Linked DNA regions of Struthio camelus. The protein of the gene in region 1 interacts with the protein of each later gene in a biochemical or structural test. Links are inferred from orthologs where the notes say so. Each region holds a gene or a part of one and is shown in the gene's direction. Other genes may lie near its edges.

The links.
Region 2: the proteins of BTRC (region 1) and NFKB1 form a complex in vitro, tested with the Homo sapiens proteins (3 studies listed by BioGRID, with this or other methods). The link is inferred for Struthio camelus from reciprocal best matches to the Homo sapiens genes BTRC and NFKB1.
Region 3: of the proteins of BTRC (region 1) and CCNE1, one has a biochemical effect on the other in vitro, tested with the Homo sapiens proteins (2 studies listed by BioGRID). The link is inferred for Struthio camelus from reciprocal best matches to the Homo sapiens genes BTRC and CCNE1.
Region 4: of the proteins of BTRC (region 1) and CDC25A, one has a biochemical effect on the other in vitro, tested with the Homo sapiens proteins (3 studies listed by BioGRID and IntAct, with this or other methods). The link is inferred for Struthio camelus from reciprocal best matches to the Homo sapiens genes BTRC and CDC25A.

The regions. Positions count from the first base shown.
Region 1 is NC_090948.1:16,134,277-16,142,257, forward strand, and holds the start of BTRC (F-box/WD repeat-containing protein 1A), read left to right. Parts: upstream 1-4,981; 5' UTR 4,982-5,107; coding exon 5,108-5,155; intron 5,156-7,981. UniProt on the Homo sapiens protein: Substrate recognition component of a SCF (SKP1-CUL1-F-box protein) E3 ubiquitin-protein ligase complex which mediates the ubiquitination and subsequent proteasomal degradation of target proteins. Recognizes and binds to phosphorylated target proteins.
Region 2 is NC_090945.1:27,039,495-27,046,427, reverse strand, and holds the start of NFKB1 (nuclear factor NF-kappa-B p105 subunit), read left to right. Parts: upstream 1-3,924; 5' UTR 3,925-4,000; coding exon 4,001-4,121; intron 4,122-6,933.
Region 3 is NC_090951.1:14,457,011-14,464,961, reverse strand, and holds the start of CCNE1 (G1/S-specific cyclin-E1), read left to right. Parts: upstream 1-4,942; 5' UTR 4,943-5,047; coding exon 5,048-5,061; intron 5,062-5,165; coding exon 5,166-5,256; intron 5,257-5,505; coding exon 5,506-5,574; intron 5,575-7,951. Other genes in the region: C10H19orf12 (protein C19orf12 homolog), read right to left, coding at 3,033-3,115, 4,199-4,271. UniProt on the Homo sapiens protein: Essential for the control of the cell cycle at the G1/S (start) transition.
Region 4 is NC_090943.1:992,591-1,000,467, forward strand, and holds the start of CDC25A (M-phase inducer phosphatase 1), read left to right. Parts: upstream 1-4,868; 5' UTR 4,869-4,990; coding exon 4,991-5,142; intron 5,143-7,877. Other genes in the region: E3 ubiquitin-protein ligase TRIM7-like, read left to right, coding at 179-294, 762-794, 2,027-2,538. UniProt on the Homo sapiens protein: Tyrosine protein phosphatase which functions as a dosage-dependent inducer of mitotic progression. Directly dephosphorylates CDK1 and stimulates its kinase activity. Also dephosphorylates CDK2 in complex with cyclin-E, in vitro.

The DNA.
Region 1 (7,981 bases):
AAGACGTCCCGCGGCTCTCTGCCTTGGCCTTCCAGCGTCTCCAATAGCAGTGATGGTGCTCTGCCAGCAGGGAGAGCCCCTTATCCCCAGGGCAGTCAGCAGACCCCTGACTGGGCAAAGACGTGGGGCTTTTCACCTTGTACCTGCTGAATCAGCAGCTCTCCACCACATCCTATCCTCCCCAGCCTCAGGTGTGATTCCCACCCTCTCTCGTGCTAGCTCTGACATGTGTCTGATCACAAGAAAAGCCAATTTGACTCGCCAACAAAGAACTGTTTGGTTTGTAATCCCTGCTTTCTGCCAGTGGAGTGAATTAAAACAGCTTGCCACGCTGGCAAATGAGCATCAGAGCTAGCTCAAGGTGCGAGGTGGAAGCATGTGGCCAGGCAGAGGTGGGAGAGGGGATGCATCTCCCCTTTGCAGCAGCATGAGGTGTAAACTCAGCTCAACTTGTAATCTGAATCCACAGCCTGACTCATCTGAGGACAAGCCTCTCTCTCTAGGCACTACTGAGTCAGCCTAGAGCAACCACTCTCCGTGCCTGGACATCTAACCTATCCCATCCATATCGGTGGCTTCACACCCTTCATTAGTACTAGCTAATGGGTACTCTCCTGTCCAGCCACAGAGTGAACATACTTCATGCTCTGTGGTCTTGGCCATGTTCTGGGTGCCGTATCCCTGTCTCACACTTAGCTGCTTCTCCCGCTCACGAGCTCTAACTCTATTGAACTTTATCTGGGTGTTCAGCATTGTACGACGCACCTACAATAAGGGCTGTTGCGGCCCCAAAGATCTTGCAGGGCAAAGGGAATAGCAAAAGGTTCCCACACTGGTAGTCTGCTCTCCTGTCTCTTCCTTTCCTTTCCTCTTCTGTTGCAACCTGGAAAGAACAAAGCCAAGGGACTGCCAAAGCAGAGGAAAACAAGGCCAAACATACACAGATGGCGAGCCCACAAATTTAATTTAAAATAATCCTTTATTATTCAAAATATTAAAATTCAGGCAATAACGCCCAAAGGAACTGCACTGATTAAAGCTCCCTAACGTTTCATGGCCAAATCTTGCTGCTTCCTCCAAGGGTCACTGGGACAAGAAGTGAAACCCCTCTGGAGTGCCGAAGAGGCAGGGCTGTACCTGCTGCACATCGTTTAACCAAACAGTTACTTACTGACCCAATCTGTTTCACTTAAAGCAAAGCACCAGCTGTTCCTTACCCAATTAATGATTGCCACAGCAAATTAACATGGCGTTACACCAGGCGTGGATGTGGTCCGTAGAGTCTAGAATGCACAGAGCAATATGCTATTGCAAAAATAATCACAGTAATATCTTTACTGTTAGGTAGCATCCTTCATCTGGAAGCTCCCTGTGCGCTCTATGGCTCGCTTCATGCAACAGACTCTGTAGTGAGGGTGTTTAGGGCAGGAAGGGAAGAATAGGATCTTGTTTGAATTGGGGGGTGGGGGCAGTTAGGGGAGCTGGCCAGGGCAGCTCTACTGTCACAGAGAGTCGGCACTGGCCACACTTGTCTGGCTCTTGGTTCCTGTGATCCAAATGAAATGTTATTTAATTGATTGAAAATCTGCTGAACTTGCGGTGTACCTTCCCTATGCCTTGAACGCTGTAGATCTCTCCAGTGTCTCTCCTTCTTCTGCGTGATGAGGGTGCCTCAATAGCACAGGGCTGTAGCAGGGATCTTCAGCCCTAGCCTCCAGTAGGTGTCACAGCTCAGCAGCTTAGCCACTCTCCTGCTCTGGGACATGCTGGACGTGGCAAGCTGGTGGAGCGCAGAGCTGGCTGACCGGCCGCAACGAGCAGCCCTCAGCAGGAACGCGCTACAAAGCTGGGCTGCAAACACAGGAAATCCAGGCAAGGTTCAAGTGTTAAGGCATTATGCTTTGTGCTGAATGTTGTTGGGTTAAACGCTGCCTCTCCGATTACTTCCTCGATCTCTCTGTGCTACGTACTGCCTCATAACCCACACATAAATTGCAACGCTCTGGGGCAGAGGCTGGCCCCTTGCCCCTCTGTGGTCAGCCTGCACCGTGGGATCCTGACAGTTGTATAAGAGAATAACTGAGTTGCGCTCTCCTTCCACTAAGGTCGAGTCCAGTACCTAAACACTGACTATCATTTTGGCCCCACTACAAGTCTGTGCTTTTCATGACCCAGAGAAATTAACCCCTATGAGTTACAGTCCAGATAGATCAATCAGCCTAAAGGGCTTTGGGACAGTGGTATCTAGTGCTGAAGCATTACACATTTCAATTTTCCTACAATTAAGCTAGCATCAAATATTATTGACAAATAAACCAGGCGATCAAAGCCCTTGAGCCCTTCACGCTGCTACAAAAAGGATCCATTTACATCCCAGCCAGCTGCATCATGCCCAGAGGGAGGAGACGCAAGCGGCCATGCCCCAAGCTTCGGCAGCTCCCAGCCGCCTCCAACACAGTTAGAGGAGCCATCCCTTTGTAATTATAGGACTCATTGTAATTACTGTTACTTATCTAATTGTGGTAAGTGTTTTTAGTGCTGTCAGCATCCTGGAAAATGCCCGGGCCCATTACAGCCAAGCATTTCAGGTGTTTCATCACTGAGAATCTGAGCTTAAAGTACAATGACCAGGAGTGTGGCTGGGACAGTCCAGGAATAGCAGCCCATGTCCTGGTGACCTAGAAGCTGTCTTTGGAAGATTTCTACCTCCTGGGACTTTAGAGGCAGGGCATACGGTTATCCCTGCCTCATTCTCTGGCGCCACTGCTCTAGGCACCTTCCCGATCCTAGCATTGCGACTGACCGGAGAGGAAAAGGCAAGGACCCATCCCCGGCGCCTGCATGGAGTCATGTCACAGTGTCACCTGGGCTGGGTAATTTGCTGGAGGACACACTCCTACCATTGGGTTAAGAGATGCCACCCAGGGCACATGTCCCTGCAAGGAGTTCAGTAATGGGCATATTCTCTGCATCTTTTCTCTTTTTCTCTCTGATTATCCTGTGTAGAAATAGGGATATGAAGGGGCGTTTAAAGAAGATGAGGAAAGGGCTGGTGTGTAGAATGTGGCAAATTGGCCTCCGTGTTTTGCAGACAAGAACTGTCTCCTTATTTCGTACCGTGCAACAACACAGCGAGGCCATCCTTGGCTCTCGGCTTTTGGCCTCAGTACCAGATGTGATAACAGGTTGGTGTTACCAGTCCCAGACACTCAGAAATCATGAGTCAGGCCTCAAAATCTGTGAAGCTGGCTTTGAAATCCTGAGGTTCCTTTTAAATAGGGTGAGTTTGCGGGGGGTCCCTTCTTTATTTCATATTTCTGGACCACAGGATGAATGCCAGTTCACGTTTTAGACTTTCCTCTATAAACTGCAACAACTAGAAGCCCCAAGCCCTGATGTAACTTCAAGTGCTCTGAGAAAAATACGGTAAAGTTGGCAACATTATTCTTACCAAATACTCTGTTCAGAAGTGTGCGCAGCAGAATAATGAAATGTATTGCAAATAAAATGCTTTGGGGATAACATTTAGAATTATGTATTTGTTCATTGATGGATTCTATCATTTTAAGATTATTCTTTTCCCCACGATTACGAGGGCTAGAAATGATTTATTTGTCATAAAATAATTTCCATCCCCACTGTTACATTGATCCCATACTTGTCAGCACCGCAGTGTTATGGGAAATGCCAGATATGGGAAGGGTTGCTGTCATTTCATAAGAATTAGCAACAGATGGTAGATAGGTCCTGGCTCTGATTATCAGAAGATGCTGGTATCATTCCTGCAACATGAAGCTTTACTTTGTAGATTGAACAGTGACAAAGAGAATGGGTTTAGGTTGCATGTTGACAAGTAAATGCTGAGGTTTGTGGCTTCTAAATAGGAAGAAATTGAAGGCACCTCACTTAAGATGCAGAGTCAAATATAGAAAGAATGTGAGTGTTTTACCGGATCACACCCTAAGTAAGAGTCAGTGCTGTGCTTGCTGTAGAGAAAGGTAAAACAAAAGGGGGACAGTATGGTAAACACCTTCCAGCCTATGCACAGTTGTTATAAGAGGGCTCCTGTCAATTGTTTTTTTTCTTGTTTGCTGCTTTATACAGCAAGGAGAAGTAGGTGTAATTTTCAGAGAAAATAGATCTAGCTTTGTTATTAGAAACAAATCTAAGTGCAAGGGCAGTGGCAGGTTGTTTTCATGTGAGGAATTGTCTTTGCAGCAAGTTTTCAACAAGTATCTCTCAGGGATGGTGTAGGGCTACTTGATCCATTCCAGTGTTGCAGGTTTCCCAATTTCATGTTCCCCTGCCAGGAAGCAACACTTAACCCGCTCGACCCAACTTCCACTCCATACTAAGACACCAAACGTTTTTGGTACCAACTCTATGCATATTTGCCATACGTACATATATGCCAGTGCACAAGATTCATTTTAGATGGTATTTGGGGCTGTACTAAAACAAGCAATAATTGACTTAGAAATCAATCGCACTCAGGCATTGAGCGCAACTGCAGCAAAACAAAACAATTAGCGAAACTTTTATCGGCACCATAAATTGCCGGTAAGCAGCTATGCGCGCTCTCAGGTGCCAGGCACCCTGGCAATTAGCCGCACCCAAGGCACTAATTGGTAACCGAGCAGGGCTCTGACTTGGGAGCCGGGCCGAGACCTCATCGGGGAAGGTTGGGGCTGGAAGGCCCCAGACGCCCCCAGGGAAGGGGCCACCCTCGTCCCCGCAGCGGCCATGCGCCCTGCTCGGCTCTGCCCTCCGTTACGCCCGCCACAGCCCCTTCCTACTACAACTCCCATCAGCCCCCGCTCCCTCTAGCGGCGCATGCGCCGGCCGGCTCCCGGCGTGCCCCTGGCCGCGAGGCCTTCTGGGCCTCGTAGTTTTCATGTCTTCCTCAGGCCCTTACTGGCAGAGCGGCCAGGGACTCCATTTCCCGTGGGCCTGCGGGCGGCGCATGCGCCGCGCGGGCAGCGGGGCGAGGTGGAGCGGGGGGGACGCGGGGAAGCGCAGGTTCCTGTCTGCGCTGGCTGCGGCCTGGCACTGAGGGAAGGGGCGACCCCGGCCCCGGGCCCGGCGGCGGTGGCGGCGGCGCAGGACTATGGACCCGGCCGAGGCCGTGCTGCAGGAGAAGGCCCTGAAGTTCATGGTGAGGGGCCGCGGCGGTGGGAACGGGGGCACCTGCGGGGGTGGGGGAGGGGCGCGGGGTGAGGTGGAGGAGGAGAAGGGGGAGCCAGGCCGGGGGGGGCCCTCGCTGGCGTTGCGGTGAAGCAGGGGGAGGTGGCTGTCCCGAGGGGGTGAAATGTGGGGGGCTGGGGAAGGGGTCTGGTGCGCGGTGCGCAGACCGGGGGGCCGCAGGTGCCGCCTGGGAGCGGGAGAAGTTCAAACCGGGCTGGGAGGGGGGAGGGGGCGCTGCGTGTGTCCGCTGGGTTTCTGCTTTTATTTGTGTACTTGAGCCTCCCTTTCTGTAGTGCGCACCAGCCCGCTGCGGTTCTTGTTCTGTTTTTCCTGCCTCTCTGCCCCCAGAGCTGTATGTATTGCCACTTTAATCCTGCGCCTCCTCCCGCTGTGTATCCCTGATAATGAATGTAAAGAGCACTTATATTGTCTAGGTTTGCGAGTGGGTCTTTGACACAGAAAATAGCCTTGGGGTGCTTGCATCCAAGATGTTCTTTGAGCGTGGCTAGCTCACTCTAGGTTTGAGGCATGATACACTTGAGTTAAAACATTATTTCATTCTTTTTTATCATTTATTGGTATTTTCAAAACTTTGGGCTACAAACAGTAAGATTTGGAAATGGAAACAAACTGCTGCCAACCAACTTGAGTATTAACTTTAGCCCCAAACTGTTCTTTCCCTAAGGATGTTACTTAAATGAATGGCAACACTTGCTAAAAGTTTGTTTTGGATCAGTGCTTTCCATGGTACAGAGTTAAGTTTAAGTTCATCAAGAAGAAGCAGTTCTATTAGATCTTCGGAACGTATGCTCAAAATGAAATTGAGGAAATGCTAGTTGCAAATTTTAATTTTTAACTGCTCTTCAGAACACTTGCTTGGCTTGCGGCTTTTAATCTTGTAGAACTTGTTTCTCTTGAGACTTTTTGACCCTTTTGCTAGTTTTCTTAAAGCTTGTCAAATTTCTAGAGTCTCAGTTCAACAAAGTGGGAAAACTTTGTGGATAGCTAAGTAGGCACGGAAGCAAGTAATAACAAATTATCCTCTTTGTTGCGTGATTGGCTGTTGGAGTATGCCAGGTCCTGCTGTGCGTGCATTTGGTCAAGCTTAGTAATTACAGTCTGCATCTGGATAGATAGTGAGTTTCATATCCGGAAAAGTTTCTCTTGAAAAGTTTCTGTCTTGCACCAAAGGACATTGTAAACACATTATCCTGACATCTCATACGCTGCTTTTTTCCCACCCCTTGTGCAAAGATTCCCATCTAAGAGTTTATTCCAGGTACTTGAAATCCTCCATAAGATTGGGCCTGGCTACCTGAGGGAATTCTTGTCCATCTTGCAGCTGGCTGTGTTCCACTCAAACAATAAAAGTCCCTGGCACTAGGGAGAGGCCTGAGTGTGAGAGAGTGCAGCCTACAGGAGCTGTATCTGTTAAGAGCACAAGACAAAGGAAAGAATGATCAAGGGTGGGGCTGCACTGAGAACTAAAAGCTAAACTAAGTTCTTCAATATTTTATTAAAAAAAAAAGAAAAACCTCTCATATGCAAAACAAATCTAAAAAGTGCAACAGAACATGTAGCCTCCCTCTGTTGCCTCCCAACTGTTTAGGCATTTTTGTTTGCAGGTTGACAGGAGAGTGAGAAAGGCTTTTGTGTAACGCATCTTAAGCTTTTTCTTTCACATGCATTTATATAATACCTGCCTCTCACTTTAGTTATGTTGACAAAGTAAATCTTTTATTGGACATTGTGAGGTCTTTCAGTCTTCCCCCTTTGCAGTTCATGGAGATGTAGCAGAAGTAGGTTGTTTCAATATGTAAGATTGTCTTATTTAACTTAGATATCAGCTTGACTGTGCTAGAAAGTCTCTTGTTTCTGTCTTTTACACTCAAAAAGTCTTTAGGTACCGCAGTAATAGCGTTGCTACAATTACCTACCTAGATTGGCTAATGCATCCTCTCAACTGATGCTGAATCATTCGCAATGTATTATCCTGTTCATCCAAGTGTGTGAAACGCTTCATGTACTGTTTTCTTATTAGAGGGGTCACAGTTTGGGTTGAAGGGGACTATGCTATTGAGTATTGATTTTTCTCAGTGACTTTCCCAAGTGCCAAGATATTTCATCGTAGTAAATATTCAAATATCCCTTGTAGGGATGGGACCTGCTACCTCCACAGCTTTGGGTGGTTTTGTTTCTGATACAGATTTCGACTGAATTTCATTTCATGTTGAAAACAGCCTTGTAGGTGGTAGTATTTTTGTCCTTCTCTAGAAAAAAAATATTACTTTTTCCACTTAAAAATAACTGTGCCTAATTTTTGGCAGTAACTTTGAGCTTCTCTCTTGAATCACAAGATATCAGGTGAGACAGACAGTTTTTTTTTTTTTTTAAATGTCTAACTCCAGCAGAAAATGTCATGTTGAAATTTTGTTCCCTGTTAATCTTATGGCCGAAGTAGATACTTTTTAGAAAATCACAGTTTTATTTCTTGTTTCAGAAATCAAGGCTATATTTGACACTTTGAAATACTGTTTTTTTCCGGGTGCAAATGTATATGTTACTTTTTGATGGAAGAGAAGAAGGTCTTTTTCTTCCTGGCTGGTATTGGCTAGATTACCTGCCAGCAAAATGATATTACATTTAGCTAATATCCTCTATTGGTTTCTCAAGCTATCTGTGTTTAGATGTAATACATATAATCCAATACTTCCAGGTTTAAGTAATTTATTTAATTATACTTGCCTCTTCAAGTTACCTCTACTTTTCAAGAAGGCCTAATTTATTTCCAGTGTTA
Region 2 (6,933 bases), on another chromosome or scaffold:
TACCTCTGATACAGCTTCCCAGTAAGAGAGACTGGGACACAGCTAGAAAAATTTCACAATGTCTCCCTCAGCTCAGCAACATAAGTGTTTACTTGCTCAGGTGGAGCTTTAAGCACATGCACTTCATCTGTGAGCTGATCTTGTTCAGGTATTAAAGTATCTTGATGGTAATAGCGCAGCCCTGTGTTCTGCAGGAATCACAGCAAACTGCTGGCACCTGAGTCCATATAGTCTGCCTAGTTTACCTACTGGCTGTAAACAGGTCTGGGGGGGGGGAGAATATCTTTTGACTTTTCAGGTGAGTGTTTCCATGCTTTAAAGCAATTCATGTATCCAGGGTGTTCTGAGAAGGTAATTCTACCATTATGGACTTACAGCTTGATGCTGTTGTGGGTTTCAGTGGAAGTAACGCTTCTGTTACAGTGGTGAGTTATAAGAAAGACAAAGTTATGTTTTGAATTTACCTGAGAAGGGAACCAAAAGGAGAGAAGAAAAAAAAAAAAAAGCTAGATCATTGTGGAAGCTGCTTAGGCTTTTACTAGGAAAGCTGAGCCCTGAAGTAGTCAACAATGTGTCCTTTTAAAATAAATCCACCAGTTAAGTCTCCTTCAGTTTTGGAACTTTTCCACCTTGTTTGATTTTCCGGTACTTGTTCATACAGGTCTTGCCTGTGAGCATACCTGTGACTAGCTGTGACATGGCACCTTTTCTTTCAAATGAATCTCATTTTGAAACACTTTACATATTTAAAGTCTATTTAAATTTCCTTCTCACAGGGCTTTGGGACCCAGTTCTCTCTTCACTCTCACTTCAGTGTACTTGCTTCCACAGAAGAGCTGAACATTGGGTCCTGAGAGTGCAAGAAGTAGCTTTTTTTAATAAGGAAAAACATATTTTACTCAGAAATGCTGAGTCATGAAAAAATGGGTTGGGGAGAGAATGGGGGAATCCATTTCTAGAACTGCATCACAGAGTGATGTGACAATCCAAATAAAGGAAATGACTCTCACCATACATATGAATATATCCCCTGTATGAGATTTCAGTTCTCTTATTAAGAGATGGAGAAAATCCTTTGTGTTTCCAAGCTGCCTTTCACAGTCTCAGCACTAATCTTAAATAACATCTCTATTCCAACTCAGATCTTGGCACAAAGTATAACATCTGAATCTATTCCCTCTCCAGGGATGAAATCAGCTACCATGTTGATAGATTAGATGTGTTCAGCAGCATAGTCTTCTTTTATGACATGTCTGGTAAAAAAAAATAACCCTGTCTCTTTGTCCCAGTGATTGTTTATCCCAGGTTATATTATTAATTAATTATTATTAATAATATTAATTATTAATAATTATATTATTGTATATACCAGATTTTATCCCAGATTGTTTATCATTTGACCTTGTTTATTTTGGCCTCAGTTTTGCCTTGGATGTGAGTTTGTTGCTTCAATATAAGAGAAATGAGTCTCACCATTTAATTAAGTTATTTGTTTTATCCTTCTTTTCAGTTACGATTTTTGCTAGTCTCATTCATCTCTCAGAGGAATAATCCTTTGGTGAAGATATGCTACCTTGCAGAGTCTTAGCACAACAAAAGTCATCCACCAGCACTCCCCTGTTGCATGGTTGAATTCCTGGCCTAACACACATCAGGTGAGCTATACTGGCTGCTAAGCTGAGATGCTCCTCACTCTTAGCAAACTGGAGGTTTAAGCCTCAGAAGAAATTCAATAAATTCAAATATTTCATCCGACATTTGTGACTGGCCAAACATGGTACTGGTCAGTTAGGATCGCTCAGCTGAATGACAGTACACCCTTCAGCCTTAGATCTACCTGACAGATTTGCTTACAGTACTAAGGCACTAGATTTTGATACTAAAAAAATCAGTATATGATTGATGGTTGGTGCTATTTAACAGAAGTTCCACTAACCTGGAAGTCTGCTCTGCCAGGAGCTAAAAAAAAAAAAAAAAACCAAACAACGGTGGCATGTAGCCTGCACCCCCTGCTCAGCACTGTTTTCAGATGTTTGGTGGTGGGCAGTGAATAAACCTCCATTTACAAAGGATCCATGAAAGGAAAGTAACAGAAAGGCATTATGTTAGTAGGTTTAAATTCACTCTACGTGTATTCCCTCTTCCCTTAGAAACTTTTTGGGGGTCAACAAACAAAAAAACATTTACAGCCACCTGGTTAGGCCTGACTCCACAGAAGTCTTGACAGCATCCCCGTGGGTCACTCAACATGGACAGGGTTATTCTTGTGGTGGCGGTAATTCCTCCAGGCCAAAAAGGCTCATGTAGTCACACAACTTCCTTCAGGCTGAGGGCCTGTCCGATCAAGAGCAGTTCTGAGAGCCCTGGGAGCTGGGAGAGGGATTTTGCCAGCTAGGGGTGGGTGGCAGACGCTTCCTCAGCTCTGCGCTGCCCTGCCTGCTTCCGTGCTGTCTCCTCCCTTGCCCAGGGTAGGCTTTTCCTCCTGCGCTTTTCCAGCATAGTGAGGTGGGAGAAGCCACAGACAGAGCCCCTCCAAAGAAGGCTGGCAGTGTTCAGTGCTGTACAGGTGCTCCTTCATCCCTCCAAGTGCTCCCCCTCAACAGTTGCCTGCTCTCTCCTTGCACCCCAACAGCTCCCCCTTGACAGTGCCCCCCCTCACTCCCTCCCTGCCCCCCCCAACAGTTGCCCCTCAATGGCTCCCTGCTCTCTCCCAGTCCCTCCCAACAGCTGCCCTCTCTACCTGTCCCCTCTCCAACAGCAGCTCCCCGTAACGGCTGCCCGCTCCCTCCCTGCCCCCCTCAACGGCTGCACCCCCTAACGGCTGCCCGCTCCCTCCCTGCCCCCCCAACGGCTGCGCCCCCTAACGGCTGCCCGCTCCCTCCCTGCCCCCCTCAACGGCTGCACCCCCTAACGGCTGCCCGCTCCCTCCCTGCCCCCCCCAACGGCTGCGCCCCCTAACGGCTGCCCGCTCCCTCCCTGCCCCCCCAACGGCTGCGCCCCCTAACGGCTGCCCGCTCCCTCCCTGCCCCCCCCTAACGGCTGCGCCCCCTAACGGCTGCGCCCCCTAACGGCTGCCCGCTCCCTCCCTGCCCCCCCCCAACGGCTGCGCCCCCAACGGCTGCCCGCTCCCTCCCTGCCTCCCTCCCTCCCTTCCCTGCCTGCCTGCCTGCCTGCCGCCCCGCCCCGCCCGCGCGGCCGTTGCGCTCTCGGAGCGTCAGCGGGAATTTCCAGTCAGGAAGTGCGGCGGGCCGGGGGGCAGGGGCAGGCGGGTGGCCGCGGAGGTGGAGGCGGCGGCGGCGGCTGCGCAGGCGGCGGCGGCCCCGCAGGCCGGTGCCGCTCAGCTGCCCTCGCCAGCGGGCCGGCGGAGGGGGAAGTCCGTGCGGAGCCAGGGCGCGGGCGGCGCCGACGGCGTCACGCCGGTTACATGGCGCGGCGCTGAGGGACGCGCGGCCGGGCCCCGCCAGCGGGAGACGACGACGACGGCGGCGACGGCGACGACGACCGCGACGAGACGGCTCCAGCCCTGCCCCGGGTGAGCCCTCAGCAGCCCCTGGCCCGTCGCTTGCTGCTCTCTCTCTCTTTCCTGCCCTTCCTTGGCGCCCGTTCGCCTTTTTGCCGGCGCTTCCTCGTTCCTGCGCGGAGTCGGTGGCGAGGTGACGCCGGGCCGGGCGGGGGGCGCCGCAGGGCAGAGCCTGGCGGGCTCGGGGACCTGCGACGGGCGCCGCGGCTCGTCCGTGCCGCCGGGCGCGGCTGCCGCCTGACGTGGAGCACGGCAGAGGGAAGCGCAGGCGGCTCCTGCCCGCGGGCGCCGTCCGGGGCACGGCGACACGAGCGGCCTCCGCTTCCCGGTGCGGAGCTTCTGGGCAGGGCGATTGCTTGCCACTGTGCTTTCTCTTTTGCTGTGGATTTAAACAACGCCTTCCGTGTTCGCGTACGGACCGCGTCGGGACTCTTCTGTTTAATAACTCTTAAAGCGCAGCTACAGTGGGCTTTTCTGCTGATGTTTGTTGTAAGGGGACGTCCTAACCTGGAAGAGATGTCTGTGAACTGCTGTCAAATAAACGCAAAAAGTTGGAGAGGCGTTTCTGCTGACGGGGGAGCGGGGTGCTTGCTGTCAAAGGGTATGCTGGTTGTTGCGCGTTTGGTTTCAGAGGTGGCGTTCGGGCTTGACCTGAGAAACAGTTTGGAGCATCTGTGGTTGTACGGTCATTGTCTGGCCTTAAGGGGGGAAAAGTTAGCATGCAGACGGTTTTGCCGGTGGCACCTTGGTGTCCTGATCCTGGGTGGGGATTGCAGAAGGTCTTTCAAGTGAATGTCGCAAAGAATATTTAAAAAAAAAAAAAAAGCTGCTTTCGGATGTGGTGTACTGGTGGATTTTTTTAAAATTGCACTAGTAAGTAATGAAACTGAAATGTTCTCCCAATGATATAAAAGTATGATCTGAATGGTTGTTTTTGTTACATGTGGCCTTAAAAACGAGGAGATTCAACCGTTCATCCTCACCATTATTTTTACTTGTTGGCGCTTTCTGCTTTGATTTCTTCAATTAAGAAGCTCTATTGACTTCTTCCATGTGAACACAAAATAGAGTGTTATTTCTGAACTTCAGTATAGATGAGCTATGTGTTATTTGGCTGCCGTTTTAATACGGTATACTGGTATGTACTTCCATTCAAAGGAGTGAAAATATAAGTGCCTGTAAGCATTTGCAGGATTAAGGCTAGAGGTCATCACAACTTCAGTGCTGCATTTCAGCTTCCTGTTAAAAATACTCTAATCTTTGCTAAGGGTTAAAAATACTCTAATCTAATAAAAAACTCTAATACTCTAATACTCTATGTTAAAAATACTCTAATCTTTGCTCTAATCTTTACATTTGAAAAGTAACACATATTTTTAAAGCGCATAATGTGTTAGGCATGTTTAATTCTATGCTTCAAAGTCCTCCTTTCATTTATTCTTTTTAACAATAACATTAAGTCAATATTAAGTGAATGTATTCTCTGCTGAATCGCCTTATACCCTACATCACCTTATACTTCACTAGAGTCAGGTGCTACACCACCTTAGGCAGCCTTAAACTGCCACTGTCAAGCTCGCACAACTCGGTTGAAAATGTAGGTCTGGGTTTTGTTGATATTCTAGAACTATTGGAATAATATGCTAGTCAGAATATATTTCTGGTTTAAAGACAGATTTTTATATTTTCAAGAGAGAATGCAGCTGCCCATTCTATGAAAGAATTAGAATGACGTCTTAGTTATCTGCAGTGTTTTGTACTACAGTTTAGTTGAGCAGTACAGTTAGGACTACATTTGAGAAAATGAAAGAGGAAAAATGAGCCTGTAGATTCTCAGCTTCTCTAAGCTTTCCTGGCTCAGTAATTTAAGTGACATTTATGCTGAATTTTTATTGTCAGGATCTGCCCCAGAGGGTATACCTGGAAATTTCAAGGAAACTCAGTGCTGAGATATGCGCAAGACTTGTTAAATAACAACTTAAACTGAAGTATTAACCAGTCGATGGAAAAAGAAAGCCTTTTCCTTTCCACCCTTTGTCCCCTTTTTCAAGAAAGAAGTGTCCATTTAACAGTAGTTATCACAAATCAAACTGGTTTCTCTTGTGAGTAATGAGTACGTTTTGGATAGAGTTAAGATTATGAAACTGAGAATGGCTTTGTTTCATTTTGTGTCAAGTTGTGTGTTTTAAAAAATAATACTGTAGCAGATAAACTTCATACTTGATAGAGATGCGTAGTTAAATTAGCATCTAGATGGAGTTTTTTTGGTATACATTTGAAATCAGAAAAGTTTCCTGGAAAAAAAAGTGTGCTAGGAGAGAGCAATACCTTGTTCTCACCTTGGTAGGGGGTGAGAGGGTAGAAAACAGACAGCAATATTTCGTTCATATGTAAGGTATAAAAATTTCTTGCTTTGTTTATTGAAAGTTAACAATTATTTTAATTAGTTTTCAATGTTATTATGTACTTAATCTTTTAAAAATAATGTAATTTGCTTTTTTCAGTGAGATGTTGTTATGTGATTTCATAACATTCAGTAACGGATACCTACAACCAGCTATTGACTTGAATTTGGTAATTAATAAATTTCTGAATTTTCATGAGAAGCAAAGTTCCTGCTTTCCAGCACTGCCTTTTCCCAACACCTCCCCAAGCAACTGTCACATGGAGACATGCAAGGTCCAGAAATAAGTGCAGTTAGGAAATTTGTGTTACCCTGCCCATCAGCACTGGTGACCCTGGAAGCAGAGGAACCCAGTGTGAAGACGCTTGAGTCTTCGCTATGAAGGATGCTCCGTACTGCCGGGGGTGTTTAAGATTCGGTGGTGCAGACTGCCTCTGTAGTTACACACACCCATACTAAATGTTGTATAGAAGTTGCAAAGATACAGTGAAAAACAATGTATTTTTTACTAACTTAGGGTAGGCTGTTGTAGCTATTGATCAGAAAATTCTGCAGTCTTTAGAGATACTGTTTCGTTGTTCTATGTTTTCATAGATCACTTCAAAATTTACCCGCTGAAATGTTCCCACCTTTCGGTGCTGAAAATGTTTGCCAGCTCTAGATTCAGAAGTGTTTGTCTTAAGAGAGAAAAACATATTTATTTCCTTAAGCAACTAAAGTAAAGTCTAAATTTAGCTTCTTTGAAACTTTTTTTTCTACATATTGGTAGTTTTTCTTTGGTCCTCAGTGACAAAATAACATAGGTATGAAACAAGAGGAGAAAATGTTTGGGGTTAGGTAATGGATAGGAGGAATTCTGATCTTGGTCACTGTCAGCTCTGACCCAGGTATCTTAGAAATGGAAGTTGTAATTTTATGTCCATTAAATTAGCTGTGTAGCCTTTTTAAAAGTTCTACATTGATAACATCGTAATTACAGTTGTCATTAATTGTGCCCTTAGGTCAGCCA
Region 3 (7,951 bases), on another chromosome or scaffold:
TCAGAATAGCAACAAAGGCATCTGCAGAGACCACACTGGCAAAAGAAGCAAACCTGAAATCTTGCTTGGTGACAAGCAACATAATACTTGCAACACAATACTGCATTTTAAAAGCTCAAATAAAAATAATTCTTTTGGAAAAAGTGCATCTTTAACAGTCTTTCCTGTCAGCTATTCAGGTAGCTGCAACTAGATAATAATGGTAACTAGTAAAGCGAGTTACATCAGTGAAATGAACAGAAACTTCCACTCTGCTTTTTTCTGGCTACAAAGCAGGCTTCCCTCAGGCTGAGTGGAGTGAATAAAAGTTAAGTAACTTGCACTCTATTTTTGCATCACTACTTTTTTTTTTTTTAAACAAAAGAAAATACAAATGGGAGGGAGCATAACGTCTCATAATTTGCTGCTTATAAAGTCTTGTCTAGGGAATTTCATTGTTCAGCAACACAAGTACAAAGCATAATACGTCTTCAGCCCAGATGACTTCCTATCTGAACACTCACTTGTTTTCATTATTGTGTTCCAATACCACAGATCTCTCATATTTATTATGTTAAACTGCTAACGTGCCAGATAAGTCACTTTTTGCTGAATAAAAATTTACTGTCAGGCGCAATACGTGTTGAGTGAGACCATATACTTCACTTTTGAATGTTAACACTAATTCAAGTAACTCGAGACAATATCCCAACATCTCCTGGTGGTAACAAGATGGTTATACATCTTAAAGACTACGGTAAGCAGCATTTGGAACTGCAGTCAGTGAATATATCCATAGAGAAGAAAAAAAAAAAGCTGTAACTTTCTAGGTCTTTTTCCACAAGAAAAAGAGAGATAATTTAGCAGTTTACTCTTCAGTACTGAAGGGGAGAAACAAACATATTCCCATTGGGAAGCAAAAAATCTAGTTTGGAAGAGCGGTGATCTACATGCAAAAGCCAGGAATCTCTTGAAGTATCCATCATGAAAACCTATGTCTCTCTCAAGTACTGAGGAAAAGCTAGACAACTGAATTCCAGAAAGTGTTAGGCAACCATACTGATACCTATGGAAGCTCTCTTCCTTATCTCTGACCTTTATGCCTTAATAAAAGACTTTTTTTGTTATACAGCTGTAACACTATTATGTATGGACCTATAAGTTCAGCTACTTAACTTCAGAATGATTATTGTGGAATATTTACTGACACTCTCAAGAGCCCTACAATGAAATATACTAAGTCCTGAATTTCTCTAAATCTGCAGAGAAATGACTGTCATGCACCTGTCTACCTGGGAGCTAGTTCTAAAATCTACTAGAGCTCAGTCATTGCAATACAGGAGGAGAAGAGATAGACCAGTTAGAACAGCAGGCTTTATTACAACTGTTGAAAAGACAACAAGGTGTAAAATAGGAACTAAAATTCTGTGGTAATAGCGATTTTAACATTTCTCTTAAATCGCTTTCAGCTTTATGCATTTCAGCAACGAAAGTAACTGCATCTCTACCCTCCCTCAACTTTATGTATTGCTTTACATCGTGCTTTCGCTCTGCTGCTAAGGGTTTCAATGTATAATCAGTATGTAAGGAAAACAGGTAAACAAGCATGGAACGTGTGACAATGACTTTAAGAGAATTATAGGTCACTCATGTAAGCACTTCCTCTAATGCAGGAAGGCAGACCAACTACTACTCGCCACTCTTCTGATGTGGATCAAATCATCCTGTACCTCACACCGATCCTGCAACTGCCAAGACAAAACATACAGTCATAGTACAGAACTACTTCACTTTACACAGAACTACTGTACATATTTTCTTTCAGAAAGTACGGAAAGGAGGAAAACTGACTTACTCCACAGATCTTGCAGTTGAAGATTATTCTAACCGAGTAGACACATGCCTGACCGGCTCACGGGCACTGAAACCTGCCTACGTAAACATGATTCTTCCACACTGTTTATCCTTTCAACAATTTACTTCTCAGGACTCTTTCCTAATTAAGCCTTACTCTGTTCATAACCTGCTTTGTGACTTGTCAAGAATTTTGACTTTGGCCTTCTGTAATTCAGATTAAGTTTAGATCCAATCTTGCTCTGATTGTAAAGTATAATTTAAAGTTATGCCATTAAAAAAAAAAAGATTTCAAGTGGGTTGTTCTTAAAGTTTAGAAGAAAAGAGCAGCTCAGAGCACTGACTACTTGTCCATTTAAGCCATTTTTAAGTCTCGGACATTACGAAACCACGCTACCACGCCAGCAATACTGCAGGCAGGTCAAAGAAAGAGCACACCAATGCACGAAGGCAAGATGCAATGAACTTTAAAACATACCTGACCTTTCAAAGGGACATAAACTCTGTTTAAAAACTGCTGACCTACGAAGGTTACTACACCACCTTAGGTCCAATGGCAATTCAGGCAGTAGTACCTGCCTTTTCTAGCCTCTGGCTGAGAGCCGCCTTTTGGGCCTCCTCTAGATATGCAAAACAGGCAAGCTCTCTGCCAGAGGGCTATGATGGAAGGATTAAAATGGGTAGAAAAGGGTCTAAGCAGCACAAATACAACCATGGGAGAATCCTATTGCCTACAAGTGACTGAGCCATGCCTGTGCACATGCCAATCCTCCATGAGTTCACAAAAAGTGTTGCATAGAGCTAAAAATATAGTGGTTTGTCAGACTGTAAGAAGCCTCCTACAGCCAGATACCTAAAATGCTGGCAACACTAAATGTCGTAGTCAACTTTCCATCTGCTTTTTTTTTTTTTAATTGACTTGTTTCTTAAAAATTGATAGCAATCCTACTTCAGTAACTTGAACTGTGCAGCTTTTTCAATTGCTCTGCATGCACTCAATACATGGCTTAGGTTTCAAAAGCTAAGAAGGCTTACTCTATTAAAACTACATCTTGTATTTTGACCTTCTTCCTAAACTCTGTGTTTAAGATGCTTTCAGTAAGTTCTAGGTATACTTGGACTCAACGTTTTAAATGCTAGCTATAAAGAAGCAGCTTTGCGTAAATACTGCCACAAGAAGAATGAAAGCCAATACTTACAACTCCGGCATCCTTGTAAGTTTCTGCCTCTCGACAAGCTTGATCAACGATCTGGGTCAACGGAAGAGAACTTCTCGGCGTCCCTGCAAGAACAATGCTGCTTACCCCAGTGCAAGGGGAAATCAAAACCAGGCAGGGTAAGTTTTCAGTTAAGATAACTGCAGGGATTAGCATAGTGAAATAGGCAGGAACAGGTAAACTTGCTAAAAGGCTGCTGTGTCTCCTTGTGGCATGCCTTAACGGCATCTCTTTCCTTAACTGAACTTGACCTATCCACTCTCGCGGTTCAGCTCCTAAAACCAAGTTCTCAAACTTGAGGAACATCCACTATAATCTCTCATTGCACCCAATCTGCCTTTAGCTTGTCATTGCTGTACTTATTACTGCTAATCCTTCATCAGTGATGCTCATGCAACATAACCTAGGGCAAGGGCAGACCACTGGCTCTGCAGAACACCTGCACGAAACACGAGCTGACTTTAAGATTGTTTGAACTATATTAAAACTCTAACTTGCAAGGCTGGTAGCGTCTGATCTTCAGCTACTCCTGAAGTAAGAACTTCCTGACAGGAAAGAACGCTCAGCACGGGTTTTGCTTGAAAAAAGCAAAAGTTTTCCTCAAGATAATTCTGAAGTCTTTTCTGACCACGTGGGCTCCTAAAGCCAGGTACCTGGAGCCTGAGATCTGCACTCGGAACAGCTCCTCTGGCAGTCTTTAGCCCGACTTAACCCGACATGGCGCGGTGCAAGCTGGCCGCGGTGCTCGGAAGCTGCTTCGGGGAAGGGGAAGGCGCGGGGCAGGGCGGCTCCGGGCCCGGCCCCGCGGCTGCAGCTGCGGCCGCCCCAACCGCGGGGCGCAGCGCTGCCGGCGGCCGCTACTCCGTCCCCGCGCTCGCTGCCGCCACCCCCCACCCCACCCGCCGCCTCCAAACCTCCTCCCCGCAGCAGCGAGGCGCCCAGCCCGGCCAACACCTCGGCTGCGGGCGCGCAGCCATGCTCCGCGGCTCCCTGGGGCCCGGCCGCGGCCGCGGCCGCCGCCCCCTCCCGCACGCCGGGGCCCGGCCCGGGCCTGCCCCGCGCCGGCGACGAGCGGCAGCCGCGCCCCCGGCTCAGGCGCGGCCCAGAGGGGCGGGGGCGGCGCCGGCGAGGGGAAGCGAGCACCTTACCTGGCAGCGCGGCTGCGTGAACCGCGCCGACCACGGCCGAGCGGGGCCGCCCGAAGAGCCGCCGCAGCGCCATGGCCGGCGGGGCAGGAGGGCACCGTCATGGCGGCGGTGCTGCCCCGCCCCGCCCCGCCCCGCCCCTCGCTGACCGCGCCGGGCCCTCGCCGCCGCCTGTCGACGCGCCGCGGGCAGCTCCCGCCGCCGCTTCCGCGTCGGGCCCGCCGGCTCCTCCCCCCGGCGCGGCCCCGCCCCGCCCCGCCCGCCCGGCCCGACCCGGCCCGGCCGCGCGGGTGCCCGCGCCCTGCGGCGCCCTGCGCCGCTTGGCCCCGGCGCCCCGCCGCGCCGCGCCGCGCCGCGCCGCGCCCCCCCGCAGACCCCGCCCCGGCCGGGCCGGCGCTGGGCGCGGGGCCACGTGTGCGGCCCGGCGGGCGGGCGGGGAGGCGGCCCCGCGCCGCGCGTTTAAATGTCCCGCTCGGCGCGGGCCGCGCTGTGCGCAGGGACGGGAGCGGCCGCGCCGTGAGGCAGGAGGCGCCCAGCGGAGCCCGCGCTCCCGCCCTGCCCTGCACCCCGCCGCTGCCGCCGGGCGGGCAGCGCTCGCTCCCTCCCTCCCTCGCCCGCCGCCCTCTCGCCCGGGAAGGCGCCGGCGGGTCGGCAGCGCGGGCCGCTGCGGGCGGGACAGGGCAGGGCAGGGGGCGGCGGGGCCGGGGCTGCGGCCGGCGGTGCCCGGCCCTTGCCCGCGCCGCGCGCCCGCGGCCCTTTGTGGCGGCGGCGGCGGCCTGCTCCGCCCGCCCGCCCTCAGCGGCCGCCCTCGCCCGCGCAGGGCCGCAGCTCGCCCCGGCCCAGGCCGGCACCATGCGCCGCGAGAGGTGAGTCCCGCGGGCGGCCGCGCCGCCGCCGCCTAGGCCCGGGCCTCCGCGGGGGCCCCCGCCCCGGGGTGCCGCTGCCTCCATTTCTCCTCCTCTCTCGGCAGTGACCACGGCGAGGAGAAGGCGCCCGCCAAGGGCGAAGGGGGCGCCGAGGGGGCCGTGCGCGCCCGAAAGAGGAAAGCCGATGTGGCCACGGTGAGTGCGAACCCAGCCGGCAAAATGGCTCGGGCCGGCTGCGGCCCCGCTGCCCGTCTCTGCGCCGTGGCTGCCCCGAGGTCGGGCCTGCAGCCCCTCGTCCCGCTCTGCGCGGCCCCCGCCGCCCGTGGGCAGGCGGTGGTCTGCCCACCGCCCGCCCCGGTGGGCCCGACGCCCGCCGCTGTCGCGAGCGGCACGTTTCCCCCTGCTCCGTCGCTGTAATTTGAAATTATCTCTCCCTTTCTGTAGTTCTTGCAGGATCCGGATGAAGAAATTGCCCAAATGGAAATGAACAGAAAAAAGCAGTATGAAAACCAGGTAACTGCTTTGACCTCAGGTCATGGTAGCATATAACCACATGTAACTTTACTATTATTTTACAGCGCTTCGTTACTCTTGGGAACACGGTAAAGCTGCCACGTGCTGTACAGCAGTGGTTGAGGGGGCTATCAGCCATGGATGATGAAAAGCACAAAACTGCTCAGTTCATACAGCTTGCTTTGGAGTCTTTGCAAGAGATGAGGGAGGCCTGCATTGGTCTAAAATGTTAATACTTCAGCATTTCCAACTTTCCTGGGATTGTAAGGGTTCAACTTACAGAGGCCTTAATATGCACTTAATTCTACATGGGGAGACCCTGTACTGACTCCTCTAGAGACCTCTAAGAGGACAGTGATGTGCTTACATGTGTACCTTGCAGGCCAAAGCATGAGACACTTAAGCATATGAACAGAATCATCTCTTGAGATGGAGCTTTTTGCGTCCATGTCTATACTTAGGCTGGGAGAGGGGAAAGATCGTTCATTCTTTTCACCTTCTGCTCCATTCCTGCTCAAAAATATCGTCGTCAGACTGCCAGAAAACAAGGAGTTACTGATTAGAGCTTAGAAGTTTATAATATTAGATGCTAATGTCGTGGTGAAGTGTTAGGCTCGGTCCCTCTAGAGCAAAAAGGGATAACTTCTATAAAACCACTTAGGCTGTGGAAATTGGGCCAGTAAGGGGAGGCTGGTGATGACCATCACCAGTTTCCTAAATAGGATACTCTGAATGATCTGAGGTAGGAAGTCAAAACTAACTGTCACCTTAGGGTCCTCTTCATAGTCTTCAGACATGACATGCACGATGCTTTCAAACATTGAGATGCCTGCTCTAAATAAAACAGCAAGATTAGCCTACTTTCTGAAATGGGTTTATCCCCTGTCTTAGGGCATGAAGAAAGACTGCGCACTTGCATGTACACATGCACGCTCTGTCACTAGGACTTCAGCCAGTTAATGCGCATGCGGGATGATACTCACACTGCAAAAGTCATGATCAGGGAGTTCAGGCAGCGCTCATTTGGTACGCAAGGCTATGCATAATGTGGCACATCTAACCAGAAGTGGCAGCTGGAAGTTCTAAGTCTAAAGTGCTACCATAACAGATGGGCATCATTGTTTGGAATGGCCTCTGCTTGTTGCAACTGCGTATGCTAGTTATCAGTCAACATATTAAGCAGGGCTCAAATGGTGAGCATTTAATGAGAGGATCTCTTTCCCTTCTGTCTTTCTTTTGTGCATATTAAACTAATTTCTCACTTCTGACAAGGAAGAGCTGCCTGTCCTTCACCACAGTTCCCTTCTTCACCAAAGGTTTCATTCTGTGTGAGCTATGCAATGGCTTTTTGTGTGCAGTTATTGCGTAATAATAAGTATTGTTTAAAAAATCCTACCATGGACCCAATTTTGCCCTTCTTCAGAAAGATAATGGAAAGAAACTTGAAATATGTTTTACATACAGTGACCTTCAGCACTGAAAGTAGGTAAAGACTTCCAATTCTGTATTCCTGTTTTGTCTTACTAGCTTAGCAGCCATTAAATGTGACTTTGTGAATGATGGGCGTATTAAAACTTAGATAATCTAGGCAGTAGGCATTTCAAAATGCAGATTTAGGAATTTTTCAAGTTAAGCTTAGGATACTGGTGGGAATTAGGCCCTTGAGTTTGGTAAACCATAAATAAAATGGGTACCTGTGTATCAGTCTGTACATGGAGAAGATTTTTTGTCATAACAAAGTAGCCAGATTGTTACAGATCTGTTTAAAAAAAGCTAACATTTGGCTGCACAGCAGCAGCTCTTCAGTCTATGGTGTGACACAAGCTATTCTCTGATATAAATTGCCATGGGCCACTAATGAGAATATGTTTATGGTTCCAGCAGCAGTATAGCAAGCTTGTATGATAGCCAGTGAGATGGTTATGCTGTTGTGGCATGCTAATTCTAAACTGCAAGTAGCTATAAATCCAGTACAGCCTATACCACGTGACTTCTACATTAAATAAATTGTTTACTGATGCTAGTTTATACACGAGGCAAAAGACTATTGTCGCATCCCACTTTATAGCATCTTCATATTCAATTCATTAGTTTGTTTCTGTTGAACATAAGGCATGAGTTCTTAATTAGGATGCCGTTACCCTTTATGTGATGAAAGGGTGGCTATATCATCAGGTTTGTGACGGCGGAATATTGCATAAATTCTGTATTTGATTTTGGAGAACTGGTACTGCTGTAATTCTGCTAGTAATTCTCATATTAATTCTGGCTGCTTTCTGTGGACTGATACGCTTCCAAGGCTCAATGTAAAACAAAATTCATCTAACTAGATTATTGTAACCCATGTAATCTTGATACAAAGTACGTGGCCTCCAAA
Region 4 (7,877 bases), on another chromosome or scaffold:
GGCGGCTGAGCGCCGCAGGACCCTGCGTGAGATGAGGAGAGTAATAGCTCAGCTGAATTTTGCAGGCAGACGTTTCCTCTTGCTATACGGGATTGTTCCCCGCTGTCTCCATCCTGGCCCCAGGTGCTGGCTCACTGCTGTGGTGAGGGCTCACCTCCACGTTGCTGTGTCTTCCTAGCTGCGAGACAGCGAAAGCCCCGATCCCGGAGCCGGTTTCCTTAGAGCTGCAGAGGAGAGTTTGCAGCCTCTCCAAGACGAGCAAGCTGGTCATGGGTGCCATGGCTGAATTCAAAGGTAAAGCAAAGAAGCAGTGAGCGATATCTTGCTGCACAGCCTGCGCCCAGGCCCCACGTGGGTTTGCCGCTGCCCCAGGGCACTGGGCCATGCTATCTTTAATGAACACGTTTGCTGAAGCTCATCTGCGAGCCGCCTGGTGCCCAGGGGGTTTAGGAGGGGGCTCTGCAGAAGCCACGAGCTGTGCCTCCTGCTTGTCTCCGCTGCACACACGTGTCCGTGGCAGAGCTGCTCCCGGGAGCATCCTCGCGCTGTGGCCTCTGCCCAGGGCACGGGCTCATCGCACCGGCTCCAGGCAGGGCCGCAGCTCTGAGACAGGCTTTGCTGGAGCCTGGGGTGGGCGGCAGGAGGTGGGCAGTGGGGCCCAGATCAGGATTTCATCTCTGATGGCCTCAGTGCTCTAAGGGGAGCAGGAAAGAGGCTGCAAGAGGAAAGAGAACTCATCCCTCCCCCTTTCCTTCCTCTAGTGAATCTGCTGAACAAGATGGATAGAGAAAAGGGTAAGTTTCTGGAGCTGGTGGGCACAAGCAAGGGAGAACAGCTTTCCTGAAATAAGTTTCCTCATGTCCAGAGGGTAGAGATAGGCTCACACCATGACATCTGAGTCCAGGTCCCTTCATTTTGACTAGGCCCACTATAAAAATGCAGGCCCATTCCCAAGCTGAGAAACCGCCAGAGACACCGTTCTCTAGCACTGCACAAGACCCTCTGCCAGGGCAGCGCTGGGCCCTCGGCTTCGCTGTCTCTCTGGAGAGTTTCTCTTCTTTCGCCGTGATTTGTAAGGGATTTAGTAGATAAACGCAGGTGGGTCCGTTCCTGTGGCCGGAGCAAGAGGGGCCCATAAGCATTTTGAGCTGGTTTTTAGGCACAGAAGGGAAATGCCTCTGCACGCGCTTGGGGGTGCCTTCGGGCCTGGGAGCACCACAGGGCTCGGAGCTGGTCGGAGCTGTTTGTGGTGAGGCTGGTCGCTGCCTTGTGGTTTCGTGGCCGAGGACCAGACTCGCAGGATGGCGTTCCTCAGTTTCCCCTAAGCCGCGGTCCCCGCCACGAGCAGAGGCCCCAGGAGGAGCGGGCTTAGCGGAGGGGCCGGGGTGGTGGTGCTGGGCGGTGACACCTCTGTGGCCTTGCGGGACGGCCGCAGGATGGCAGCAGAGCATCCTGCGTTAGCAGATGGCTCCGGCTTTGCAATGAGACTGCCTGGTTAGCGGGCAGAGCGGGGCCTTGGGAGCGGCTTCTCTCTTTGGTGGGCGCTTGTCCCTTGACAGCGGAGCAGGGCTTGGCCTGGCACCATCACACGTAACGCTTCCTCACTTCCCCCGGCGATAGGCTGTTCCCCTGCGGCCCTTCGGGTACCCCTGTGCCCAGCCTGGCTGGGAGTGCTGCAGCTCTGTTATGCTTAAGCCCAGCAATAACGGGGATGTTGGGAAGCAGAGGTTTGGCAAAGCGCAGTGTGTCGGCAGGAATTCAGAGCATCCTCCTCTGTGTCAAAGAGCCCCGGGGCGTGGGGACGCTGCTTGGCCCAGTCCTGCTCTGGGAAGTGTTGCTTCTGCCAAGCTTCGCCCGTGGTGGACGTGGGGCTGCAGCCTCTGGGTCCCTGCAGGGAGGGTGGGGAGGGTCCTGTGCCATGCGAGGGGGCTGCATGTGCTGCGTGCCTGCTTGCGGGATGTCAGGAGAGGCACTGCTTTGCCTGTCGGCGGACGACGGACTGACGTTTCCCTCTGTCGTTCGTTAGTGAAGGTGACCCTGGACCCGGAGACGGCAAACCCTTACCTGGTCCTGTCGAAGGACGGCAAAACCGTGCGTCTTGGGGAAGGACAGCAAAAGCTCCCTGACACCCCCAAGAGATTCACAGGCAGCCCCAGCGTCCTGGGCTCCCAGGGGTTCACGGCAGGGAGGCATTACTGGGAGCTGGAGGTGGGGGACGGGGACAGCTGGGCCGTGGGGGTGGCCGTGGAGTCCGTGCAGAGGAAGGAAGCGCTCAGCCTCGCCATGGGAGGGATCTGGGCCGTGCGGCTGGACTGGGATCGCCAGTACATGGCGCTTACCATGCCCCCCACCCCACTGGTCCTGCAAGAAGCGCCTCGGCAGATCAGGGTCCACCTGGACTACGAAGCCGGCGAAGTGACCTTCTACAACGTGGAAAACATGACACAGATCTTCCAGTTCAAGGCCTCCTTCACTGAGAAGGTCTTCCCATACTTTTGGCTCTGGTCAGCGGAATCCTATATCCGGCTGTGTGACTGATGGGGTCGGATGCCTCCTGGTCCCCTACCCGTGCCTTTGGTTAGCTGAGCGGGAGGGCTGCGTGGGGACGGCGCGGCGTCGCGTGGCAAACTCCCCTTCCGCTTGGGCTGCCTGGTGTCCGCATGCTGCTGCTGCTCCCGCTGCTGCTCGTCTGCTGGAGCATTAAAGATGCGCTTGGCCTATCTGGGGGTGTCCGTGCTGGTATCCTGGCCAGATCTCACAGTGGCAGTTGTTGCTGAGGGCGCAGCCACACGGATAAGTAGGGGAACGGCAGGGAAGGTGCTCCAGCCCTGGTCCCCGATTGCCCACGCTGGTCTTTGACAGCTCTGCTGGCTGCTTTTGGCTGCGTGTGGTGTGACGTGGGGACACGGCCGCCCTGCACCCTTGCTCCCTGGGGCTGGGAGTCGCGGGGGGATTTGGGTGAAGCCGCGGAGTTGCTAACGGTGCTGGTAGCTGCCTGCATGAAACCGCGTTGCAATGAAGGTGGTAAATTAAAGGGGCCCAGGGGAAACGGCGGCTGCGGAGCAGCGGGGACCTGGGGTGGTGTCAGCCTCGGGATTGAGGGGGGCGCGGGACCGGCAGCTCAGCGGTAGACAGGACGGCAGAGGACGCGAGTGCTGCCAGAGGCCATCGCGGCCCCTCTGCGTGAACGTGCCCTCGTGCGTTGCCATCAGCTCTGCGCGCAGGTCTGCTCCCCGGAGGAAGGAAAACATCCGGAGATGGGACAAAGCTGACCAGAGAGCCCCCGCGGCGTGGGTCACAGAATCACAGAATCATTTAGGTTGGATGGGACCTCTGGAGATCATCTAGTCCAACCTCCCAGCTCAAGCAGGGTCACCTAGAGCATATTTCCCAGGACCACATCCAGACAGGTTTTGAATATCTCCAGGGAAGGAAACTCTACCACCTCTCTGGGCAACCTGTTCCAATGCTCTGTCACCCTCACAGTCAAGAAGTTTTTTCTCAGGTTTAGGTGGAACTTCCTGTGGTTCAGTTTGTGCCCGTTGCCTCTTGTCCTGTTGCTGGGCACCACGGAGAAGAGGCTGGCCTCATCCTCTTGACACTCCCCCTTCAGAGACTTGTACACGTTGATGAGATCCCCTCTCAATCTTCTCTTCCCCAGGCTGAACAGGCCCAGCTCTTGCAGCCTTTCTTCCTAGGAGAGGTGCTCCAGCCCTCTAATCATCTTGGTAGCCCTCCGCTGGACTTTCTCCAGGAGTGCCACGTCTCTCTTGTCCTGGGGAGCCCAGAACTGGACCCAGCACTCCAGGTGAGGCCTCCCCAGGGCTGAGGAGAGGGGCAGGATCACCTCCCTCCACCTGCTGGCAACACTCTGCCTCATGCACCCCAGGAGACCATTGGCCTTCTAGGCCACAAGGGCACACTGCTGGCTCAGGGTCAACTTGTTGTCCACCAGCACTCCCAGGTCCTTCTCTGCAGAGCTGCTTTCCAGCAGGTCAACCCCCAGCCTGTCCTGGTGCATGGGGTTATTCCTGCCTAGGTGCAGGACCTTGCACTTGCCTTGGTTGAACTTCATGAGGTCCCCCTCCGCCCAACTCTCCAACCTGTCCAGGTCCCTCTGAATGGCAGCACAGCCTTCTGGTCCCTCAAGGCCGTGCGGCCGCTTTTCGTTTTTTGTTTTCTTTCTTTGTTTTAAACCTTTGAAGTTTCCAGCCTGGAATGGCCGTTTCCCACTCGTGGTTATACGCCGTGACTTTATATTTTTAGGCACCGGGCGGGTGTCGCTTCCCCGGGGGATGCTGCACCCTGTGGCGGGAGGGCGTTTCACCCCAAACAGGACGGGGTGAGAAGGTTTACGGGCCTTAAAACAACCCTTGTCGCCGGGAAAAAAAAAACGGGGGGAAAAAAAAAAAGGCACCCGGCCTTTTTTAGGGCTGCGACAAGAGTGAGGGGAGTAGTGTGAGTAACAGGCCCCCATGAGGGCGGCTTGACTGGAGGCGCCTCAGGGAGGCTGGGGACTACATTTCCCAGCATGCAACGCCGAGGCGGGCAACGCGTTCCACGCGTTGCCCGCCTCGGCGTTGCATGCTGGGAAATGTAGTCCTCTCCGCCGGCCACAAAGCAAGCCCCCCCCACCTATTCCTCGAGGCACCCCATTGGCCGCCCTCTCTGGCAAAGCCTATTGGCCGCAAGCGCTGTCAAGCAGCCCATGAGGGGAAGGAAGGCGATTCCCGGCGTTTCGATTGGTCGGAGGAAGGAGCGGGCGGGGTAGAACTAAAAAAAAAACCCCACCCACCCACCAAAGCCCTGAGGAGACGCTGGTTCTGATTGGCGGAGAGGGAGTTTGGCGCCAGCTTCGGAGCGGGGGCGGAGCGGGCGGGCGGCGCGCGCGCGCCGGGCGACGGGTGGCGGCGGGGGTCAAAGCGGCGCGGGTTGTTAGGGGGGCGGGGGGGGGAGGTTGCTGACAGGAGGAAGGAGTCGGCTCGCCGCCATGCACCGTGCGCCGGGGGGCTCGCACCGCCGCCGCCTCCTGCTGCTCTCCCCGGCGCCGCCCGCCGCCTCCGCCGTCGTCAAGTCCCTCTTTCCCGCCGAGCTCTCGCCGGTCTCCGACCTCCGCCTCACCATGGAGCAGCTGGGACGCGGGTCAGTCCGGCCGCAACCGCCCCCCCCCCCAAAAGGAGGGAGGCCTCGAGGGCCCCTTTCTGCCTCCCCCCCCCCAAAAGGAGGGAGGCCTCGAGGGCCCCTTTCTGCCTCCCCCCCCAAAAAGGAGGGAGGCCTCGAGGGCCCCTTTCTGCCTCCCCCCCCCCAAAAGGAGGGAGGCCTCGAGGGCCCCTTTCTGCCTCCCCCCCCCAAAAGGAGGGAGGCCTCGAAGGCCCCTTTCTGCCTTCCCCCCCCCCCCCCAAAAAAAGGAGGGAGGCCTCGAGGGCCCCTTTCTGCCTCCCCCCCCCCAAAAGGAGGGAGGCCTCGAGGGCCCCTTTCTGCCTCCCCCCCCCCCCAAAAGGAGGGAGGCCTCGAGGGCCCCTTTCTGCCTCCCCCCCCCCCAAAAGGAGGGAGGCCTCGAGGGCCCCTTTCTGCCTCCCCCCCCCAAAAGGAGGGAGGCCTCGAGGGCCCCTTTCTGCCTCCCCCCCCCCCAAAAGGAGGGAGGCCTCGAGGGCCCCTTTCTGCCTCCCCCCCCCCCAAAAGGAGGGAGGCCTCGAGGGCCCCTTTCTGCCTCCCCCCCCCCAAAAGGAGGGAGGCCTCGAGGGCCCCTTTCTGCCTTCCCCCCCCCCAAAAGGAGGGAGGCCTCGAGGGCCCCTTTCTGCCTTCCCCCCCCCCCCAAAAAAAGGAGGGAGGCCTCGAGGGCCCCTTTCTGCCTCCCCCCCCCCAAACGGAGGGAGGCCTCGAGGGCCCCTTTCTGCCTCCCCCCCCCCAAAAGGAGGGAGGCCTCGAAGGCCCCTTTCTGCCTCCCCCCCCCCAAAAGGAGGGAGGCCTCGAGGGCCCCTTTCTGCCTTCCCCCCCCCCCCCCAAAAAAAGGAGGGAGGCCTCGAGGGCCCCTTTCTGCCTCCCCCCCCCCAAACGGAGGGAGGCCTCGAGGGCCCCTTTCTGCCTCCCCCCCCCCAAAAGGAGGGAGGCCTCGAAGGCCCCTTTCTGCCTCCCCGCCCCCCCCCAAACGGTGGGAGGCCTCGAGGGCCCCTCTTCCCCCTTCCCTCCCTGTCCCGTTTCCCGCTGGGGTTCCTGCCGCGCAGCTCTCCTCCCCCGCCGCGTCCCCCCTTTCCGCCCCAGCCCGCGGCAGCGCCCCGTCCCTGCCCACGTGCTTCCCGGCGGCCCGGGGTCACACCGTGCGTCTGCCCTGCGCGGCCCCGGGCTGCCGCCTCTGCCCCCACCCCGCAGCGCCTGCCTCTCCCTCCCGGCGGGCAGCTCTCCTCTCGCTCCCGCCGCTGCCTGCCTCCCGCGACCCTGCGGCCGCCCCTCGCCCCCCGCCTGGCCGCAGGCCTCGCGGCTCTGCCGGCCTGCTCTCCCTGCTCCGCTCCCCTCCCAGCGCCCGCTGCCCCGGTGCCCTGTCCGGTTCTGCTGTTTCCAGGCTCTAACGTCTCTCCTTGTTCCTACAGCAACCTCTGCAGTTTCCCTTACAGGGCTCCTGTCTTGCCCTGGCCTACTGTCCGGTCCTGACAGCCCTCCTCGTGTTTGTCCTTTACCTCCTGTTTTTATAGCATTCTCCTCTCTGTAATCACTCGCTTCGTGGCCCTTCCCTCCTTCGGATTCCTGGAATTCCTGCAAACAATTCGCAGCGCGCTCCTGCACGCTCGCTGTTTTATCCTTAGAGTTTGTAGGCTGGCACGTCTTCTGAATTGACCTATTTGATGTACGAGCCGCGCTCGTGTAGCCTTTCCCTTCCCTAACGTACCAGAGGAAGGCCCTGCGGGACGTGCGCCTGTGCCCCGTGTTGAAGGGGTTGCGCCTGCAGCCCCGTACAAAGCCGGGGCGCGTGTGACGCGCCCCGGCGGGCCGGCACGGCAGCCTGCCTGGAGCCTCTCCGCCTTCTCGCGGGGCGGCTGGTCCTCGGACGCGTGCTGTGAGTCGGGCTCTGAACGCCGCGCGCCCCTTCATCTGCAGAGTGACGTAGATCGCGCCGATGGTTACGTGCGCGGGGAAAAGTGAACCTTGGGAAGTCAAAGCTGGAGACCTACCTACTTAGAAGGGGAGACTGTTGGAGTTGGACAGTTGGCCCCCCCCCCCTCAAAGTGTAGTTAACTGAGCAGGGCTGCGAAGGAAGGTTACAGCCCCAAGGAAGACAATGGCGCCCTGATACAGGGGTTTCTAGGGAACAATCTGGGAGGTGTCGATATGATTCAAGGCAACAGTATCCTATTGCACAGTTGCAGTGATTTTAGTCCTGAGGTCTTATCACAAGGCCTGTCGCTTTGTTGTGTTAAAACCTTCATTTGTGATGGCACAAGATCAGGATAAAGCATCACTTAAAAAAAAAAAAAAAAAAGTGGGGTGGGGAACACTTCACAGTTAATGTTATGCAGAAAAGCTTGGCAATCTGGCGCGAGGGGGCCAGAAGGGCTTCCAGGAAAGTCTTAACGGGCTGTTTCTATCCCTCTGTCAGTCTGACTCTTAATTTTGGTGGTCTAATTTCTAGTGTTATCAATACTGCATTTTAGAATTAAAAAACCAAGTTCCTGCAGACAATAGATGTGAGCATAGTTGGAAGTGTGGTGGGGTGTGTGATGTATCTGCTGTTTAGCACACAAAAGGCTTCAGTCTGCAGGGTTACCAAGCTGGAATCCTTTCACTTAGCCAAGAAGTGTTATACTTGCGTTGCGTTACCACATTCATGCACTGTTATGTTGTATTTCTCACTTTGCTGAACGCTTAAAACAACAAAAAAATTC